Linked DNA regions of Elephas maximus indicus. The protein of the gene in region 2 interacts with the protein of the main gene of each other region in a biochemical or structural test. Links are inferred from orthologs where the notes say so. Each region holds a gene or a part of one and is shown on either strand. Other genes may lie near its edges. The genes, in order: UBD and NUB1.

Region 1 (9,575 bases), on a different chromosome or scaffold from region 2:
TAACCTAGGAAGATCTCCACAGTCTGATCTTTACCGTGGCTGGTTTTTGAATTTGTAAGAAAGACAAATGAAAAGAGATCTTTCTGCCTTTGAAAGAACTTATTATGATACAAGGAAAAATGAAAGTCAAGTTGCCATTGCAGTATGAAGCAAGGAGGCCAGGTTCTAAGAACAAATCCCTCCTGTGATCAGAAATGAGGTCATTCAGGGTATCTGGGGTAGCTTTTTCCCTGGCCTTGGACAGGAAGGAAATTTCGTATAGGAACAGAAGAGGGAGACAAGACAGGAGTACAGATTTGTTTTTCACATTCCTTGAAAAAGCACTGGTTTTCAGAAACCAGGTGCTATCTGGGTAGGGAATTCCCAGAATTAGTTTTTCCCAGGAGGGACCTTTGTCTTGCCCTCGCAGGCACCTTATGCTGAAAATCCCCAACTCCTGTGGGTGGCTTCTCTGTTGCCACTCCAGTGTATGGCCAATCAGGAACAGCATGATGCTGGTGAGTTTCCAGTGGAGATATCTATTCCTGATTTGTGAAGCTTGTAAGGGGAGGGAGGCTCACTTTAATTGACGAGAAGGGGTGACTGACCAACCTCTAAGACCCTGCCTGGGAATGGAGACCTCGGGACTTTAGTTTTTGCTTTGCCCTAACGGTCGAGGAGGTCCAGGGGAAGCCTATGGAACTTCGTGATGATGGGAGTTAGTGTTATCAGGCAGTCTTGAAATTTCACAGTTCTGGGAGAAGAGTTCTAGCTGACCTTTCCACCAGGCTTCCACCTTCCTTCAGGCTTTGACTCTTGTACTCTTGAGCTCTTGGCTCACCTCTGCCAAGTGGGGAAGGGTGGTGGTGCTCCAGGCAGATCCTACCATCCAGGTATATGCCTGCCCTCTCTTAGACTTTGAACCTCTTCTTGCTTTCATGCATCTCAAGACTCTCTGTAGCTCCCTGACTGCTTTTCTTTGCCTTCCTCAAATTTGTACATTTCCTGTAACAAGGTACGCATGTGCATGCACTTTTTCTTTTCACTGAAGCGACACAATATGATCATAACAAGACATGGACTATAATTATAGGTTTGCATCTTAACACTTGCTTACCAGCTGCTACTAATATGACTGTGGCGAGTTAGCATTTTGCTTATGTCAACAAGGACACTGATAATTATCTGGCTACACTACTGAGACAATAAATGATGTAACATTTAATAATATCTTGGGTTGTTGTGGAGCTGTGGTGGTGCAGTGGTTAAGTCCTCAGCTGCTAACTGAAAGGTTGGGGTTTGAACCCACCAGCCACTCCACAGGAAAAAGATGTGGCAGTCTCCTTCCATAAAGATTTACAGCCTTGGAAACCCCATGGGCAGTTCTACTTTGTCCTGTAGGGTTGCTATGAATTGGAATCGACTGGTCAGCAATGGATTTGGTTCGGGTGTTGGGTTGTTGTTGTTGTGTGCCCTCAAGTTGATTCCGACTCATAGCAACCCTACAGAACAGAGTAGAACTTCCCCATAGGGAGAGCAGATTGTCAGGTCTTTTCTCCTGTGGAGCTGCTGGTATGTTAGAACCCCTGACCTTTCAGTTAGCTGCCCAGTGCTTAACAATTATGCCACCAAAAAACAAAACCAAACTCAGTGCCATTGAGTCGATTCTGACTCATAGCGACACTATAGGACAGAGTAGAACTGCCCCATAGAGTTTCCAAGGAGCCCCTGGCAGATTTGAACTGCCGACCCTTTGGTTAGCAGCTGTAAAACTTAGCCACTACTCCCAGAACTCCTTAATATCTTGGTAGTCCCTGAAATATATATAGTATCCACTAAACATTTAGCACTAAATATATTTTTGTTGTTCACTTAATTATTCAATGATTTATCAATTCATTCATGCATTTAGTAAATATTAAGTGGTTCGAACTCACCCAGTTGCTCCAGGGGAGAAAGACCTGGCTGTCTACTTCCATAAAGATTACAGCCTAGAAAGCCCTGTGGGGCAGTTCTGCTCTGTCACTTGGGGTCATGATCAGTCAGAGTTGCCTACTTGGCACCCAACAACAATAACTTACTGTGTTAGACACCATGTGGAACAGTGTTGAGGATACAAGTTAATTAAGACATAATCCGGATCCACAAGATTTCTACTGTTTACTGGAGACGACAGGAAAGAAGAAGGAGAAACAGGTTCTGAGAGGCTTGCGCAGGGAGAATGGGAGGACAGAAGATGGGCACATAATCCAGAATAGGGAAGAAGAGAGTCAGAGAAGGCTTTCTGGAGGAGATGCTGCTTATACTGTGCATTCTTATAAATTCATGCTGTTGGAGGGAAAGGCCGGCCACGCAGAGGGAATGGTATGCTAAAAGGCCTGGGGGTGATAGAGAGCTTTGTGTGTTCAAGGATATGCAAGGAATTCAGGGAACAGTGCACAGAAGCTGCTAAACCTACAGGTCTGAAGCTCTGGTCTGTGCAAATGTAATTCCTGGGAAATGTCATTACTGAGCTCCTCCCCCTGGAGTTCTGGTTAAGTTTCCTTTCTGTTCCTGACAATGCAGACATTGACTCCAAGATGCAGACATAGGCTACTGAGGAGAGAAGGGCAAAGACAGGAAGGGTGTGAGAAGAGAATGGTTTAATTTTAATTAGACTTTATCCACTTACTCTCTCTCTTGCCTTCTGAGGAATAACATGAAAATCTAAGACGGTAATGGATGCAAATAAAGTCTGAAAAGTGAAAAGCAGTTCACACAAGTCTGGGCTTGTATAACTTTTCCTTTCCCCCTTTCCAGGCCCTTCCCCCATCTCTACCCTGTTGAAAGGCTTTCTCTTTTCCTGTCACCCTCAACCTGATCTGACATTTTCTGCCTAGCCACTGGTGATGTTTCAGAATTCCAAAATCCTATTGGACAATGGATGAAGGGGCATTGTTCTCTGCGGTGTAGCCGTCAAAGGCACAACCCTCAAGTGTTGGTTTCTAAACACACTTGGAACAATGGGAACTGGGTGAGATATCTGAAAGAAGAATAGCAAGGGCCAATAGTTTCCAGTCTGTTCCATTCTATGTGCTTAAAAAAGTATGTTCACCCCACAAAATACATTTAAGTAATAGTTTTTCTAATCTTATTAACTGATTATACAACAAGCATTAAAATAACATGGTACGTATAGTACTTTTTGAAATACTGGAATGAGCTCTTGGATCCCATTACTCTACATGGACACCTCTATAAATTCAAGTTCTCCAGGATGGAAACCCCTAGAATAAAATGGGGTCATCTGAGACCTATTAGTGAGTGAAGGTACAATAAATGGCCATTGACAGCATATCAAACAAAGATGATAACTTGGCATTGTTATAGACTTTGCAAAAAAAAAAAAATTGAAATGCTTTAAATAAATTCTTTCAAAAAAATTTGTTCCGTGGCAATGTCTTGAGAGTTTGGGAGAGGGCAATGATTACTTTGGAATGCTAGAAGAATCACAGTGGCAGAGTAAATTTCCTGAGAGCACAGAGCTAATGCATTTCTTTTTTGTCTCAACCCAAATGTCAAGATGAAGGGAGTGAGCAGTACCTTTAGGTTTTCTCTGAGATCACAGCAGTGGGGAGAGTCCTGGGGGAAAGGTGGGGAAATAGAGGCACTGTGGTGTGAGAATGGATGTGGATGATTCTGTTGGCTTGTGATTGGTATGTGAAAGGTGGGAGTCGGCATTTGATTTTTGGCTTTGAATTGTTTTCAAGTACTGAGCTTGGTTTGCAGATTCTGGGACATGTTAGGAAGTGTGCTGACTAGCTCAAGACCCAGTATTCCAAAGTTCTTTTTGTAAGGACATTTTATAAACAAAGTTTTTTGAGCCTGGAAGACACTTAAGAATCATCTCCAATCATCTCATCTTATGGATCAGGAAGCCAGTATCTAAGGAGATGAACAGACTTGGCCAAGATAATATACCAAGGTAACCTTGGGACTTGAACTCATGTATCCTCTCAGTCGAGGGTTATTTATCCTATGCCCTCTCAAAAAATGTCTCACTTTCTGTCAGCCCACTGTGAATAGGCTGCTCGCAAGACACATCACTCCATACCACCCCTGACTGTCCTCTCCTAGGCAGCCTTGCTCTCAGGAAAAGCCCTGACTCTGACTGATGGAGGAGTCATAAAAACATCAGAGGAGGACTAATGAGCATAAAAGGTCTTCATTGCCAGTGAGGGCTCAGGGCTGAGGGTTGCACAATCACAAATCAGGATTGGGAGTGAGGATGTAGGGGTGTTAATCAGGGAAAAAACAGGGCCAGAAAGGACCATCCCATGTTTTCAACAAAGAATGCAAATAGATTGGCTGAGGCGAGAAGAACCTGATCAGAAAGTATTCTTTGCTTATTAACTAACCACACCTCAGCAAAAGTGAAAGATTTCTGAGAACTTGCAAGAACAAAGGGCACAGGAAAGCTATCTGGGCAGGGGATTTCCAACTCCCTTGCTTGCATATAAGCTCCAGTTGAGGTCCCTTTTGTGTTTCCTGTTTCTGCTCTCTTGACTGCAGCGATGGCTCCCAATGCGTCCTGCCTCTGTGTAAGTTGGGATTTGATAAAGGAGGTGGAGAAAGGAAAGGTATTTCCAAGCTTTGGGGAGAAACTTCAGTAACTGGACTGAGGGTGGTACTTGGGAAGGCAGGGTGGCTGGGAAGGCATCTTGAAAAAAAGAGGATAGGATTGATATCTGCACAATGAGAGGAAGGGTCCTGTGTAGAGAAGCTGGTCCTTCAGATTCTGAGTTCTCCTTTGTGTCAGACCTTGGACTGGCCACTGTTAGGGATAAATGGTAGGGAGTGGGGGTGCTCAATGAAGCTGGCAAGATTTGAAATTATGGAAGTGTTTTCTTGAGCCCCTTCCTCTCTATCCCATTTGGCGGTCCAGGGCTCTTAAGCTTTCCTCTCCTCCCCAAAGGGCTTCACAAAACACATTTATCTTGAGTTGTTAATGACCTAATATATTACTTTATATGAGAATAGATGCATTATGAAGAGCATCTGGGATGCTTAACACAGAGGAGTGACATTTTAGTGAAAGAATGTCAAACAGTATTAGCAATGCCTAAGTTGGGAGGAGATTTAAAAAAAAAAATTTATCGTGCTTTAAGTGAAAGTTTACAAATAAAGTCAGTCTCTCAAACAAAAATTTATAAACACCTTGCTATATACTCCTAATTGCTCTCCCCCAATAAGACAGCCCACTCCTTCCCTCCACTCTCTCTTTTCATGTCCCTGCTGCCAACTTCTGGCCCCCTCTGCCCTCTCATCTCCCCTCCAGATAGGAGATGCCAACATAGCCTCAAGGGTCTACTTGATCCAAGGAGCTCATTCTTCACCAGCATCTTTTTCTATCCTATTGTCCAGTCCAATCCCTGTCTGAAGAGTTGGCTTTGGGAATGGTTCCTGTCTTGGGCTGACAGAAGGTCTGGGGGCCATGACCACTGGGGTCCTTCTAGTCTCAGTCAGATCATTAAGTCTGGTCTTTTTAAGAAAATTTGGGTTCTGCATCCCACAGCTCTCCTGCTCCCTCAGGGGTTATCTGTTGTGTTCCCTATCAGGGCAGTCATCAGTTGTAGCCGGGCACCATCTAGTTCTTTTGGTCTCAGGCTGACATAGTTATTGGTTTATGTGGCCCTTTCTGTCTCTTGGGCTCATAATTACCTTGGTGTTCTTCATTCTCCTTTGGTCCAGGTGGGTTGAGACTAATTGATGCACCTTAGATGGCTGCTTGCTAGTGTTTAAGACCCCAGACGCCACTCTCCAAAGTGGGATGCAGAATGTTTTCTTAATAGATTTTATTATGCCAATTGACTTAGACATCCCCTGAAACCAGGGTCCCCAGACCCCTACCCTGCTACGCTGGCCTTCGAAGCATTCGGTTTATTCAGGAAACTTCTTTGCTTTTGGTTTAGTCCAATTGTGCTGACCTCTTCTGTATTGTGTGTTATCTTTCCCTTCACCTAAAGTAGTTCTTACCTACTATCTAATTAGTGAGTACCCCTCTTCCTTCCTTCCTCCCTTCCCCTCTCTTAACCATCAAAAAATATTTTCTTCTCTGTTTAAACTATTTCTCGAGTTCTCATAGTAGTGGTTGTATACAATATTTGTCCTTTTGCAACTGACTAATTCACTCAGCATAATGCCTTCCAGATTCCTCCATGTTATGGAATGTTTCACAGATTCATCACTGTTCTTTACTGATGCATAGTGCTCCTTTGTGTGAATATACCATAATTTATTTATCCATTCATCCATTGATTGGACCTTGGTTGCTTCCATGTTTTTGCTATTGTAAACAGTGCTGCAATGAACATGGGTGTGCATATATCTGTTTGTATAAAGGCTCTTATTTCTCTAGGATACATTTCAAGGAGCGGGATTGCTGGATCATATGGTAGTTCTATTTCTAGCTTTTAAAGCAAGTGCCAAATCGATTTCCAAAGTGGTTTTACCATTTTACATTCCCACCAGCAGTGTATAAGTGTTCCAATCTCTCCGTAACCTCTCCAACATTTATTGTGTTTTTTGGATTAATGCCAGTCTTGTTCAAGTGAGATGGAATCTTATTGTAGTTTTGATTTGCATTTCTCTAACGGCTAATGATCGTGAACATTTGGGCAGAGATTTTTGAATGGGGTCTCAGGGAGGTCTTCAAAGGCTTTCAAGTGACAGCACAAGGGTGAACTTTCCATCTTTCAGAATTTGCCAGGTACTGAAGTAAGACTTGGATATATTTCCTACCTTCTGTGAATGAGGTCTGGTCTTATTAAAGAAGATCATATTCTACAATAGGCAGATACAAAAACACAGGAAACATAGATTACCAAGCCATTTTGAACACAGTGCCACCGTAATATATGAGTTGTCATTATAAATCAATGGACATTAAAAAGGAAACTAACAGTACAGAGATTATGCATCCTAACCAGGGTTTCCTTCTAGAGTAGTCAAGGGAGGCAGACCTGTGAGTATCCAGTGAGGCTGCCAAGTCTTGAAAACTGTCAGTAGGAGTTGATTTTAGAATATAGTGTACACATTTTGAAGCTTTGTAGTTGGATTTACTTGTTTTTAATTATATTTTAGGATGAAGAAGAGGTGTGGTTATAAAGTCATAAGACTTATTTCCTTCTTTGTATTTTAAACAAGCAGTTCCAAAAGAGATGTTCCAAGAAAGTGAAAGACACAGATTGGTGGAAAGTAGTGGGAGGACCTGACAGGCAGGGGAAGGGCTGGAGCAATTAAGGTGGGGGGACAGGGGTGTAAAGGGTGGCAGACATTTTAGGCAACTGTCTCTTGACTCTTATTGCCCTGCCCAGGTGAATGTCCATTCTGAGGAATGGAAATTGATGACCTTCACTGCCGACCAGGATGACAGAGTAAAGAAGATCAATGAACATGTCCGGTCCAAGACCAAGGTTCCCGTGCAGGACCAGATCCTTCTGCTGGGCTCGAAAACCCTACAGCCCCAGAGAACACTTTCGTCTTATGGCATTGACAAGGAGAAGACCATCCACCTCACTCTGAAGGTGGTGAAGCCCAGTGATGAGGAGCTGCCCATGGTTCTGGTGGAGTCAGGTGATGAAGGGCAGAGACATCTCCTTCAGGTGCGGCGGTCCAGCTCAGTGGCCCAGGTGAAAAAGATGATCGAGTTGAAGACTGCTATAACTCCTGAGACCCAGATTGTGACTTGCAATGGAAAGAAACTGGAAGATGGGAAGACTATGGCAGATTACGGCATCAGAAAGGGCAATTTGCTTTTCCTGACACACCACTGCATTGGGGGTTGACCACTCTAGGGATGGGGTGACATCAGGAGGAAAAGAGCTTACTTTCTTTTAGCTTTTACTCACTGAACGTATCTTTTGATGGTTTTCCAAAATTTTATAAAAGGGAATAAACAGAAAAAGATTCAGGATGAGGTGGGGAGGGAATATTTTTCCAACTCTGATTCTTTGATTCCAACACAATTAAGTGGCTGGATTATGTATGGTATCGCCGAGAAAAGAAAACGAATCACTAAGGCATACTAGAGACAGCGTTCAAAACCAGCTTACAATTGAATTCCTTCTTGGTTTCCTATGATTTATAGAAAAACTCTTATTTTCTTTCCTATCTAACAAGATATAGTAAGTTTTAGATTGGAATCTAGGTTTTGCTAATTTCTATGTTTCTGTGAATGTTTAGCCCAGTGCTTCACGTATAATATCACCCAGTGACTATTGAATCAAACTGAATTTCCACCCATAGAGAAGAGTGAAATAAATGATTCATTTTGAAGTGGATTAGTTACTCTGACACAGTCACAATTTAACTCATAGAGAATTTATAAATTTAATAAATTACTTTTTCTCTATTTAAGGGCATTTGGTATAAAATGAAACCTGGCACTGTGCCCCTACCTACCCTCTATGTCCCCCACAGATTTAAAATTGTTCTTCTTTCTGGGCATGGTAGTGGGCACAGAGATATTTTCCATGGGAATCTAGAGACGCCATGTCTCTAGTAGGGGCTCCTTGGGGGCAGATGTTCTTCAGGTGGGAATGGACTTTCTGAAAGGTGAGGGATTGTAGAGCAGTCTCTGTCCTGCCTGCCTTAATGTCTAGCAAGTCTTCTGCAGGTTGGGGCTATCAGTTTGGTGGAGAGAGATAAGGCGTTGGCCCCTGGGCTGACAATGATATCCTGCCCAAGTTCTGGCTGATGGAGCATTTTTCGCTGTTTCCTTCACCACCAGGTCCCTGCTTCTCTCTTGGGAAATCAAGTCCCCTCTTTCCTCCTCCTTCCTCCATTTATTCCTCTCTCTCACAGTCCTTCTTTCATGTCTTGCTGCTGATCACTTGCAAGCTGGCTTTTTTTTTTTTTTAACAACCTGAAACCTGTCCTCCTTCTTTCCCACCAGTTCTAGTTTCTTCCTTAAAACTGGCTCAGAACCATCTCCTACAAGAGAGTTCCCTACCTTCATCCCACCCAGCACAATCACTATACTTATGGTTATTGGTTATTCCTCATCACACTTATGAGTCAAGTGCCCTGTGGTGGGCATTCGTCACCTGGCTAGGGTGGCATTATGTCTTAGATCGCTGAAGAGAGAGAATAATTTTTTTTTTTCCCCTGGATTGGGTCTCCTCAAAGGTTTCCTCTGCTTTAAAGAAAAACTCTTTGTCACCAAAGAGATCATACCTCTGCCATCAGACTGGTAGAAAGCTAAAGGTAGCATTATGTTGCACCTTTAGCTGTTGATATCTTACCTGCATAGTCTTGAGGGGTGGTTATTGCATCCCCTAGGGATGGGGAAGGTCTCCCCGGTATCATGCCTCCTCCCTTTATCAGCTTAGGAGAAACCTGGAAGGCCATATCTCTCCTCCCTAAACCTTTATGTTCATATACCCTGGGTGGTGCAAGCAGGGTCAGCTGCTAACCTAAAGGCTGGTGGTTCAAACCCACTCAGCAGCTCCATGAAGAAAAAGTAGGCCATCTGCTTCCTTAAAGATTACAGCCAAGAAAATCCTATGGAGCAGTTCTGCTCTGTAATACCTGGGGTCACCGTGAGTCAGAATCCA
Region 2 (9,575 bases):
AACTGGTGACCAGAGCATCCTCAGGGGAGCACCAACGTGGCAACGTCAGAAAAACCACACAATACCCAGTGGGCATTCGGTCTCTGGTGGGAAGTTACATTCTGTCCCATGGCCATCTTTATTCAAGCTCAACCAACGGACCTGGCCTAAGCTATATAGGACTTGGCCTGCCACCTCCAACAACAGGGCCACCTCGATGAGCAGAAGACACTTCACCTCACCGCACAGTGAGGTTATGACAAGAGGGAGCAAGGAGCCATGTTTTTGGGACCTCTTCATTCTCCACTGGCCAGGCTTAAAATGAAAACCTAGAATCACTAGCAACACCTATGAGGCTAACCAAATCTACTCAGCCTTCTGATTGGTAGTTTGGTTTCCCGAATACTTGACACTAGCGAAGGAGAGTTCTAAGTTTATCACCTTTCAATTCATAAAGTGGCAGGCTGAGATACATTCTTTTCTTTTTCTCATAAAGCTCTTTATTTCCCCTAGAATTTTTTAACTGCTTATTGAGACATTAATTTACATACCATAAGTTCACCTGTTTGAAGTGTGTGATTCAACAGTTTCTAAACATTCACGGTTATACAACTATCACCATAATCCAATTTCAGAATATTTTCATACAAAATCATAAATATGTGGTCTTTTGTGACCGGCTTTTTTCACTTAACATAATGTTACAGCACGAATCCGAGCTTCATTCTTTTTCACTGCTTACCAGTTTTCCACCATATAGACATCTAACGTTTTATTTATCCACTCATCAGCTGATGGGACATTTGGGTTGTTTCCACTTTTTGGCTGTTGTGACTAATGCTGCTATGAACATCTCTGTTTCAGTTTTTTGTGTGGACACAGTTTTCCTTTCTCTTGCAGCAGAAATGCTACTCCTGCGGTGACCCTGAGACATACAGACTTTTATTTCTTTTAAGAATAATTAGCAGTGATCGGTCCTGAAATGCCAGCCACTCTGGTGCCCAGACTCAGTAACATTTCTGGACATGAACTACTGAAGACCTGGCGCTGCCGTAAAGGGGCCCTGCCCAGTACCTCAACCCTGCTGGAGCACTAAGCTTACCCCTGTGACCTCCATCCGAATAGAAAAAAGGATGAATGCCTTTGTGATGTGTTATACCACGAGAGCTTTAGAACACTGAAGGACCTTACTCCCCATTATTTCTAAGCTTTTCCTTGAACTATAGAAAAGATGAGAACGTGAATATAGCTTCACGAAATTGTGGAGGTCTCAAGAGGAAGAAATCTACCTTGTAAGCGTCCTAGTTTAAGAGTTCCTAAAAGTAACTTTTAAGTCAATCAATGTTCAACATGTAAAATAACTTAAAAGAATTATAAATTTGGATGGCAGTTTTTTAAAAAATGACGATTTATTCGATCACTTCATTAAATGACGTACATACGTAAATTTGGAGAAATTACTTACTTTTCTTAGTCTTGGAGGTAAAAATACCTCGATTGTAGCAATTCCTGTTGTTTTATAATTTTCATTTCCTGTTCCACGTTCAATTGCTTTCTGCCGTATTTCTTCTATTATTTTTTCTACCTCATTTTCACAACATTCTAGTTTGTCAGAGTATTTCTTAGCAAGGTCCTATCAAAAAAATCAGAAAATGCAGATCGGTAGAGAACCAACTCAAAAAAAGAAAAGCCAAACACAGACCAGCACATGCAGAACTCGAAGGCAATAAGCTCTGCTGAGGGGCAGTCACCCCTGTTGTAGTGAAACCCAGTCTTTAGGTTGACCTCATGCAAGGTGTGGAGAATTTAGAGATGATCCAGGGAAAAATGAAAACAAATAAAAGCTAAAAAAAAACAGGCCCAACAGGAAAAGTCAAAATAATACTGGGATTATTCCGGGGAAAAGAAGAGCAGGCTAAGACTTAAAAAAAAAAAAAGATGACTACAAATATATACATATAAAAAAAAAATTTTTAAGAAATAGTGAACTCCAAACAATCAACAAGTACTTTAAAACATAGATGAGAATGTGAGGGAGCAGGGAACCAGGAGAACAGAAATACTGAGAATGTTCACACGTTGTGACGAACGTCATCAAAGTCACTGAACAGTGTGTATAGAAACTGTTGAATGGAAACCGAAACTGCTGGGTAAACCTTCACCGAAAACACAATAAAATATTATTTTTTTTTAAAAAAAAAAGAAACAGTTAACTGTTCACCTCCACTGAAGGAAAATAAGGGAAGAAATGGAGAAAACGTTCTAACTAAAGTGAGAACAAGTCCGGTTAGATTTAAATACCACTCTTAAAATTCTGAGTCACTTGTACTGGTTGTGAAATCATTTGCCAGGGAGAACTTTAGGTTTGGGAAAAAGAATTTGGAAGATTTAAGGGGCCTCAAAAATGAACCTGAACCAGTTATTACTTAAAGTGAAGTCATTATGTTCCCTCCCAAAGAAGCTTTGCATTTGGGGTTTAAAGGCTCATAGAGGCATCACACTCCATAAAACAGTAACAGCTGAAAGACACTCAAGTCCCAGGTTTTGTCCAGATTTCTAATAAGGATACTATGCAGCAAAGACTTATAATAGGGAGGGATGTTCGTGATATCTATAAAGCTACATAACAGGAGGAGAGTATTGTATTTTAAAAATAACATAAACCCCTTTGTAATACACATATATTTTAATATTCACATAGGAAAACCATGAAACAATATACCACTAATGATGATATGTTTAATTATTTTTTAAATGTATTATTTAAATTTTTAATTATATACATACATTTTTAAACCCAAGAGTATATATTATTTTTAGCACCAGAAAACACCTAAGACTTTTTTTAACTTCCTGTAATTCTCTGGAAAATCTAAATTTCTTAGTTTCTGAGTCAAGATTATAACAAGCAAATTCAGAAGCAAGGTCACCGGTGGGTTGCAAAAATTAAAAGTGAGACCTATCAGGGACAGAAGAGACAACTCTAAGTCATCTTCTGAGTGCATCACTGTGTCACAGTGCAGGCCACTCTGCTGCCCTCACGATAACCCCCTCCTCATATTCAGGATTCTCCAACTGAAAAAGCAGATGAGTACATGATAGGATTTTCTCATATAACAGGGTTCTATCAAAAATGATTACTGCTTCCCTGCTTTGAAAAGCAGGGAAATGTCAGCTTCTAGAAATTTCACTCATGTAAAATAAAGCCATCTCTGATGACGCCATTGAAAATTTGAGGCCTAACTTCTAGAAAAATATGTTTTGGGAAAATGAACACTGACAGCCATAGTGTAAAAAAGTGAGGGGGGGAGAATCGTTTTACAGACCAAGACGGCAAGGAGAATTGAGAATCAACCAAGATACTATTACCCTAAAAACATAACCAATAACTTACACTGGAACGGCTGAGCTGTCCAGGCAAAATTAGTTTCTAGATTAACACACCTGAGAAATTAGATGACAATGTCATCTAAACAAAATCTTATTAAACAAAAATAAGCTTGTAAACTCCTAGTCAAAGTAGGTACTTGCTTGTCACTGATGCTTCTGGTTATGCCAAAAGTTTATATGGCTGTGCCTGACAATTTCCGGAGATTTCAGAACCTGATTTACCAAGGAGATTTATAACACTGCTAGTTATTTATGTCTTAGAAGAAAAATACCTTCAATGCCAAGCCAACTTCTTTATTTTCATTTGTATACGGAGGTTTCCAAAGTTGAATTCGGTCTTCCCTTAAAAACTGGGTTAATTTTGCTTGAAGATATTTCTTTTGTGCCATCCTTGAAAGCAAAACAATATAACAATAAAATTCCACAGCACATTTCAAACTGTTTTATAACCGACCTAATATGTTGAGGTGTTTTGTAAGACAAGCAGACGTCCTTCCCATTCCTCCCTCTGCAGTTTAAACTCAATTACCCAGTACCATTGAGTCAATTCTGACTCACAGTGGCCCTGCAGAACAGAATACAACTGCCCTATAGGGTCTCCAAGGCTGTAGTCTTTATGGAAGCAGACCGCCACATCTTTCTCCCCTGGAGCAGCTGCCGGATTTGAACTTTCAGTTCTTCAGTTAACAGCCAAGCGCTTTGCTGCTGCACCACCAGGGCCTCCTTTAATCTAAATTACTAAGGTTTTAACCAGCCCCAAACTTCTCTTTAAAAATATAAACATGTGGTAGATAAGAACTACTTTAGGTGAAGGGAAAGACAACACACAATACAGAGGAGGTCAGCACAACTGGACTGAACCAAAAGCAAAAAATTTCCTGAATAAACTGAATGCTTCGAAGGCCAGTATAGCAGGGGCAGGGGTTTGGGGACCATGAATTCAGGGGACATCTAAGTCAACTGGCATAATAAAATCTATTGAGAACATTCTGCATCCCACTTTAAAGAGTGGCGTCTGCAGTCTTAAACATTAGCAAGCAGCCATCTAAGATGCATCAATTGGTCTCAACCCACCTGGATCAAAGGAGAATGAAGAACACCAAGGACGCAAGGTAATTACGAGCCCAAGAGACAAAAAGGGCCACATGAACCAAAGACTACATCAGCCTGAGACCAGAAGAACTAGATGGTGCCCGGCTACAACCGATGACTGCCCTGACAGAGAACACATCAGAGAACCCCTGAGGGAGCAGGAGAGCAGTGGGATGCAGACCCCAAATTCTCATAAAAAGACCAGACTTAATGCTCTGACTGAGACTAGAAGGACCCCGGTGGTCATGGCCCCCAGACCTTCTGTTGGCCCAGGACAGGAACCATTCCCGAAGCCAACTCTTCAGACATGGATTGGACTGGACAATGGGTTGGAGAGGGATGCTGGTGAGGACTGAGCTTCTTGGATCAGGTGGGCACTTGGGACTATGTTGGCATCTCCTGCCTGGAGGGGAGATGAGAGGGTGGAGGCGGTTAGAAGCTAGAGAAATGGACATGAAAAGAGAGTGGAGGGAGAGAGCGGGCTGTCTCATTAGGGGGAGAGTAATTGCGAGGGTGTAGCAAGGTGTATATACGTTTTTAGGTGAGAGACTGACTTGATTTGTAAACTTTCACTTAAAGCACAATAAAAATTATAAAAAATACAAACACACACACAGATGTACTATTTCAAAATTACTAATATGCAGCAAGGTTTACTACACTTTTCTATTTCTTAATATATTATTCTCCTAGGAGAAAAATGAAACTTAACTATTAAGCATTATATCATACAATGACTTGTGACAATGAACTTTTATAAGCAAATCAACACAGAGCTTGTACATTCTTTTATAATTTAATACAAAACAATAGGTCAACCACTCTGGTAGTTAAAGAAAAGCTATCTTGAACCGTGAACTACCAACAGTAAATATTCTCTATACTGAATTTTTTAATTAAAAAAGTTTTATAACACTAGCAAAATTTTTCATAATATTTTGTGGTAACAGCACACTAACACATAAGCTATTCAGTTACAACACTTTTTGGGTCATCATTTTACAGCCAAGAAAACTGAGGTCCTAGGTTTGGAAAATGACTTGGCCAAGGTCACAGCATTAGGCAGAGTCATAAGCAGCTCTGGAACCTCTGCCTACGATACTGGACTCTGCATTTTGAAAGGCAACCGCCTGCTGCTTTTCTGTTCTCTGTTGGTAATGCCACTCTCCTGAAAAGCCACAGCCCACAGTGGAAGTGTCCATTCATCTCACTCTAAAGCAGCCATTCAGTGGTGTGGGTGAGGCTGCTAATGAGGAGACATCTGACAAGCGTGTCCCGTGGCACAGTGGTTAAGAGATACAGCTACTGATCAAAAGGTTGCCAGTTCAAATCCACCAGCTGCTCCTTGGAAACCCCATGGGGCAGTTCTACCCTGTCCTATAGATTCACTATGAGTTGCAATCGACTTGACGCAACGGGTTTCAAGATCAGACAAGCAGTAAGAAAAGTGAAAAGTTACTAGCTCCTGGCTGAGAGGAAGAGAGAATGGGGTTATTGCCTAAGGGGCACTGAGTTTCAGTTTGTGGCGATGAAAACTTTCGGAAATACATTGATGATGGCTGCACAACATGGTGAATGTAATGAATGTCACCGAAATGGACATTTAAGAATGGTTAAAATGGGAAACTTTTTGTCATCTATGTTATTACAATAAAATGATTTTTTTTTCTTTCATTATAAGTAACTTTCTTTTTTCCATTGAAGGTCACTATTCCACACCCTCAAAACCCAATTCACCTGATTTTTAAATCAGGTCTAGTAACTTAAACGTATGTAATAAACAAAATTTTTTTTTAAAGAAAATCAAAACCTATTTTATGTCAGTTTGGGGGTGAGAAATACGGTCATCAGGATAGGAAGGCACAAAGGGAAGAAGGAATAAACACAGCCAAGGAAGGTGTGTACATCCTGTATGACCCATGAAAGAACCCCAGGTTTTCAAGCACTGACACACCTTTTCGCACAGAAAAGCCCAGCAGTACTTAGGCACCTCACCTTGTCAAGTGCAAACCCCTCGACCACTACACAGTTATACTCCTGACCCCTAAATCTTCAGATTCTGAATAAAATATCACAGCAACCCCAGTGAGGGGAATAACCTCATGGGCTTCTCCGTGGAGCCAGGCCATGTGAAGGTGAACGCACAGCCCTCCCAGACCCCATCCAGGCCACCACCTGGCCAGAGGGCAAACGGGCTTCACAAACCCAGCTGGTCCACACACGCGGCGCAAAGCAACAACTCAGGGTCTACGCTGCGCGAGACCTTTGTAAAAAAATTACTCCACTCTCTGAAACTTACAAAACCTCAGTTACAGATAACAGAGAGAGCCACGACACGAATTTTAAATAAACGAAAAAGGAACACAGTTTAATAGGTCGGTTTTCCACGTTAAGTGGATAACCGAGAAAGCCGGTTTCAGGCCTGCGTACAAAATTCAACCAAAAAAGCTGACACATTAACTGCCCCGAAGTGAAAGTGAAACGTTTCAACCACTCCTTTGAAAGTTTCTTCCACTTTCCTAGGAACTGATCGAGGCTACCTTTATCCAAAGCTTTTCAATTGTATCCAATTTTCTTCTTACCTTTTAAAAGGAGTCCTGAAAGATAATTGTACTGGAAAAGAACAGAAAAGGAAGGAGAAATACAGACTCAGATGGTCAAGGTTCGAAAAAATTCACTATTTATTCATTAAACAGCCAAGAATCTCTGGCTTTGATTGCAAATAAATCCCAAAAGTCATATCTGGAATAATACCGCTACGATTCAAGCTTTCTGCTTGTCTCGTTCCATAAAACCAAAAAACCCCAAACCCGTCGCGGCGGAGTCGGCTCCGAGTCCTAGGTCCCCGAGGGCCAGAGCCGAGCTGCCCCGCAGGGTTTCCAGGCTGCGAGCCTCACGAAGCGGACCGCCACGTCCCTCGCCCGCGACACGCACACACGCCGCGCAAATACACTCATTTCTCTTTCTCCAAAAGGCAACACAACTGAATTTCTTTTAATGCCCCCGCCGCCGCCCCATCCCGCCCAGACCCGGCCGGCCCGCCGCCGCCGCCACAGCCGGCGAGGCTCGGGGACGCGGGGCCGGGAGCCCGCCTGCCCGCCGCCCTCACCTGCGCCACCGCCGCGCCCGCCGCCCGCCGAGTGCCCGGATGCGGCCCGGCCGTTCGTTTTCATTCCGGGTGAGACCGGCCCCGCCGCGCCGCCCGCGCGCCGTCCGGAAGGCCGCCGAGGCGGGGGGCGGAGCTCGGGCCTGGGCCTGGGCCTGCCGCCTGGGCCGCCGGGCCTGGCCTCTCCAACAGCTTTAGGAGAGAACGGGGTACGCCGCAAGGAGAGCCGTCTCCCCCGGAGTGGGGCCGGGACCCCACGGCCCGTGCGCCCTCAGGGTGGGATTAAGAGCTTCCCCCCAACTGGCCGCCCCAGCGTTTGCCAGGCTAAACGCCCTACCTACCTACCCATCGCCGTGATTAGCGACGGTGTCTGCTGAGAGCTGCCTGCTTCCAAAGCGCTCCGCACCCACAGCTCCCAGTTTCTCCCACAGGCCCCAAGACCACAGGTGCTGGGCAGCTGATCTTCCCAGACAGCTCCTGTAAATATCTGGCACCCCAAATGCAGGCTGACTGGAGCCAGGAAGCCCCTGAATTCATCCACTGATGAGGCCACTTCTCACCCTAAAAAGAGACCCACAGAGGGAAGAGTTACCCTATGGGAGCATAAACCCACACTGCTCCCTGACCCTACCATCCCTTGTCCCCTCCATCAGAAAGCACACATTGGCCTTGGTACATAAGTGGAATTTTATACACATTGTTCCGCCACCTTTTTTTCTCATTTAATTACATAGTCTGCTTTACATCTTTGTATGTCACTACGTATAGATTTTCCTGATTCTAATAAATGAATAGCATAACACGTATTTAGTTATGTCTCTGTTGATTAACAGTCTATTCGTAATTATTAGCTATTACAAACAATGCTGTAAAGATACGCATGTATCATTGCAAGTACAGGTATTTCTCAGAATAGATTCCCAGAAATGGAAAAACTACTGCCAAATTGCTTCCCAAAAAGCTGTACGGATTTACGACCCATACACTGTGTACAAAGAGCCCATCTCCCTACAACTTCATCACAACTGGACATTATTGAACTTTTTCCCAATCAAAGAACTATCAAAATTTTTACCTATCTGATGGGAAGGAAAAATGACATTCCATTAATTTGAATTACCTTTTCCTTATCATTAGTGAAGCTGACCACCTCTCCATGTTTGTTTTGTTTTGGCTATTTGCATTCGTTTTCCTTTTACTCACAGCTACGCGTTTCCTATCATTTACCTTTGTTGATGTGTTTCACCGTGCTGGAGTTTACATAGTGAACACTACCAGTCTTCTCCGTTGTGGCTTCTGGTTTTTGCATTTTGGTTACAAAAGCCTATGCTACCCCAAGATTATTAAAATATTCTCCTATATTTCCATTATCATGTACTTTCTATTAATATTCTATATTTTGTTTCTATAAAATTATAGTTTGATGTTTGATGTTTTATGTTTCTAACTTTAATCTTGTCTGTGTTAAATTTTTTTAATATACAAGAGGATCATTTTGTTCATGTAAAGGACTCTATATAGTATGGAATAATTTTTTTAATTAAAAATAGGTATTTTACAGTTAATGGGCCTAATAGTGTGTTTAGTGCTTCTGTGCTACCTCTTACGTGTTGCATAGTACCCGGGGACTTAAAAGCTTGCAAGTATCCATCCAAGGCACAGCAATTGGTTTCTATTCACCTGGAGCAACAGAGGAAGAAAGAGGGTCAGGGATAGGAGGAGGATATGGAATGTGTGGCTAATTGCTTCCATGAAGGATTGCCTCCTTTGCCATGAGACCAGAAGGACTGGACGGTAAGAGTCTGTAGATGAATCCTGATCAAAAGGGGAAAGATGCAGAACAGAATTTCCAATTTTCATGGACTCCAGACTTTTTGAAGCCCCACTGGGCTAGATGACCCCCTGAAACTATCGCCCTGGGATACTCTAAACCAAACGTATTCACTGAACTCTTCTTAAAACCAGATAATAAAAAAAGTTTACCTTAACTAGTAAAATACGCCTGCCT

Evidence for each region.
Region 1: the proteins of NUB1 (region 2) and UBD form a complex in vitro, tested with the Homo sapiens proteins (6 studies listed by BioGRID, with this or other methods). The link is inferred for Elephas maximus indicus from reciprocal best matches to the Homo sapiens genes NUB1 and UBD.

The regions. Positions count from the first base shown.
Region 1 is NC_064819.1:89,212,753-89,222,327, reverse strand, and holds the start of UBD (ubiquitin D), read left to right. Parts: upstream 1-4,485; 5' UTR 4,486-4,532; coding exon 4,533-4,559; intron 4,560-7,334; coding exon 7,335-7,805; 3' UTR 7,806-9,575. UniProt on the Homo sapiens protein: Ubiquitin-like protein modifier which can be covalently attached to target proteins and subsequently leads to their degradation by the 26S proteasome, in a NUB1-dependent manner.
Region 2 is NC_064838.1:11,785,840-11,795,414, forward strand, and holds the start of NUB1 (NEDD8 ultimate buster 1), read right to left. Parts: upstream 4,932-9,575; 5' UTR 4,917-4,931; coding exon 4,720-4,916; intron 3,760-4,719; coding exon 3,642-3,759; intron 1,613-3,641; coding exon 1,445-1,612; intron 1-1,444. UniProt on the Homo sapiens protein: Specific down-regulator of the NEDD8 conjugation system. Recruits NEDD8, UBD, and their conjugates to the proteasome for degradation. Isoform 1 promotes the degradation of NEDD8 more efficiently than isoform 2.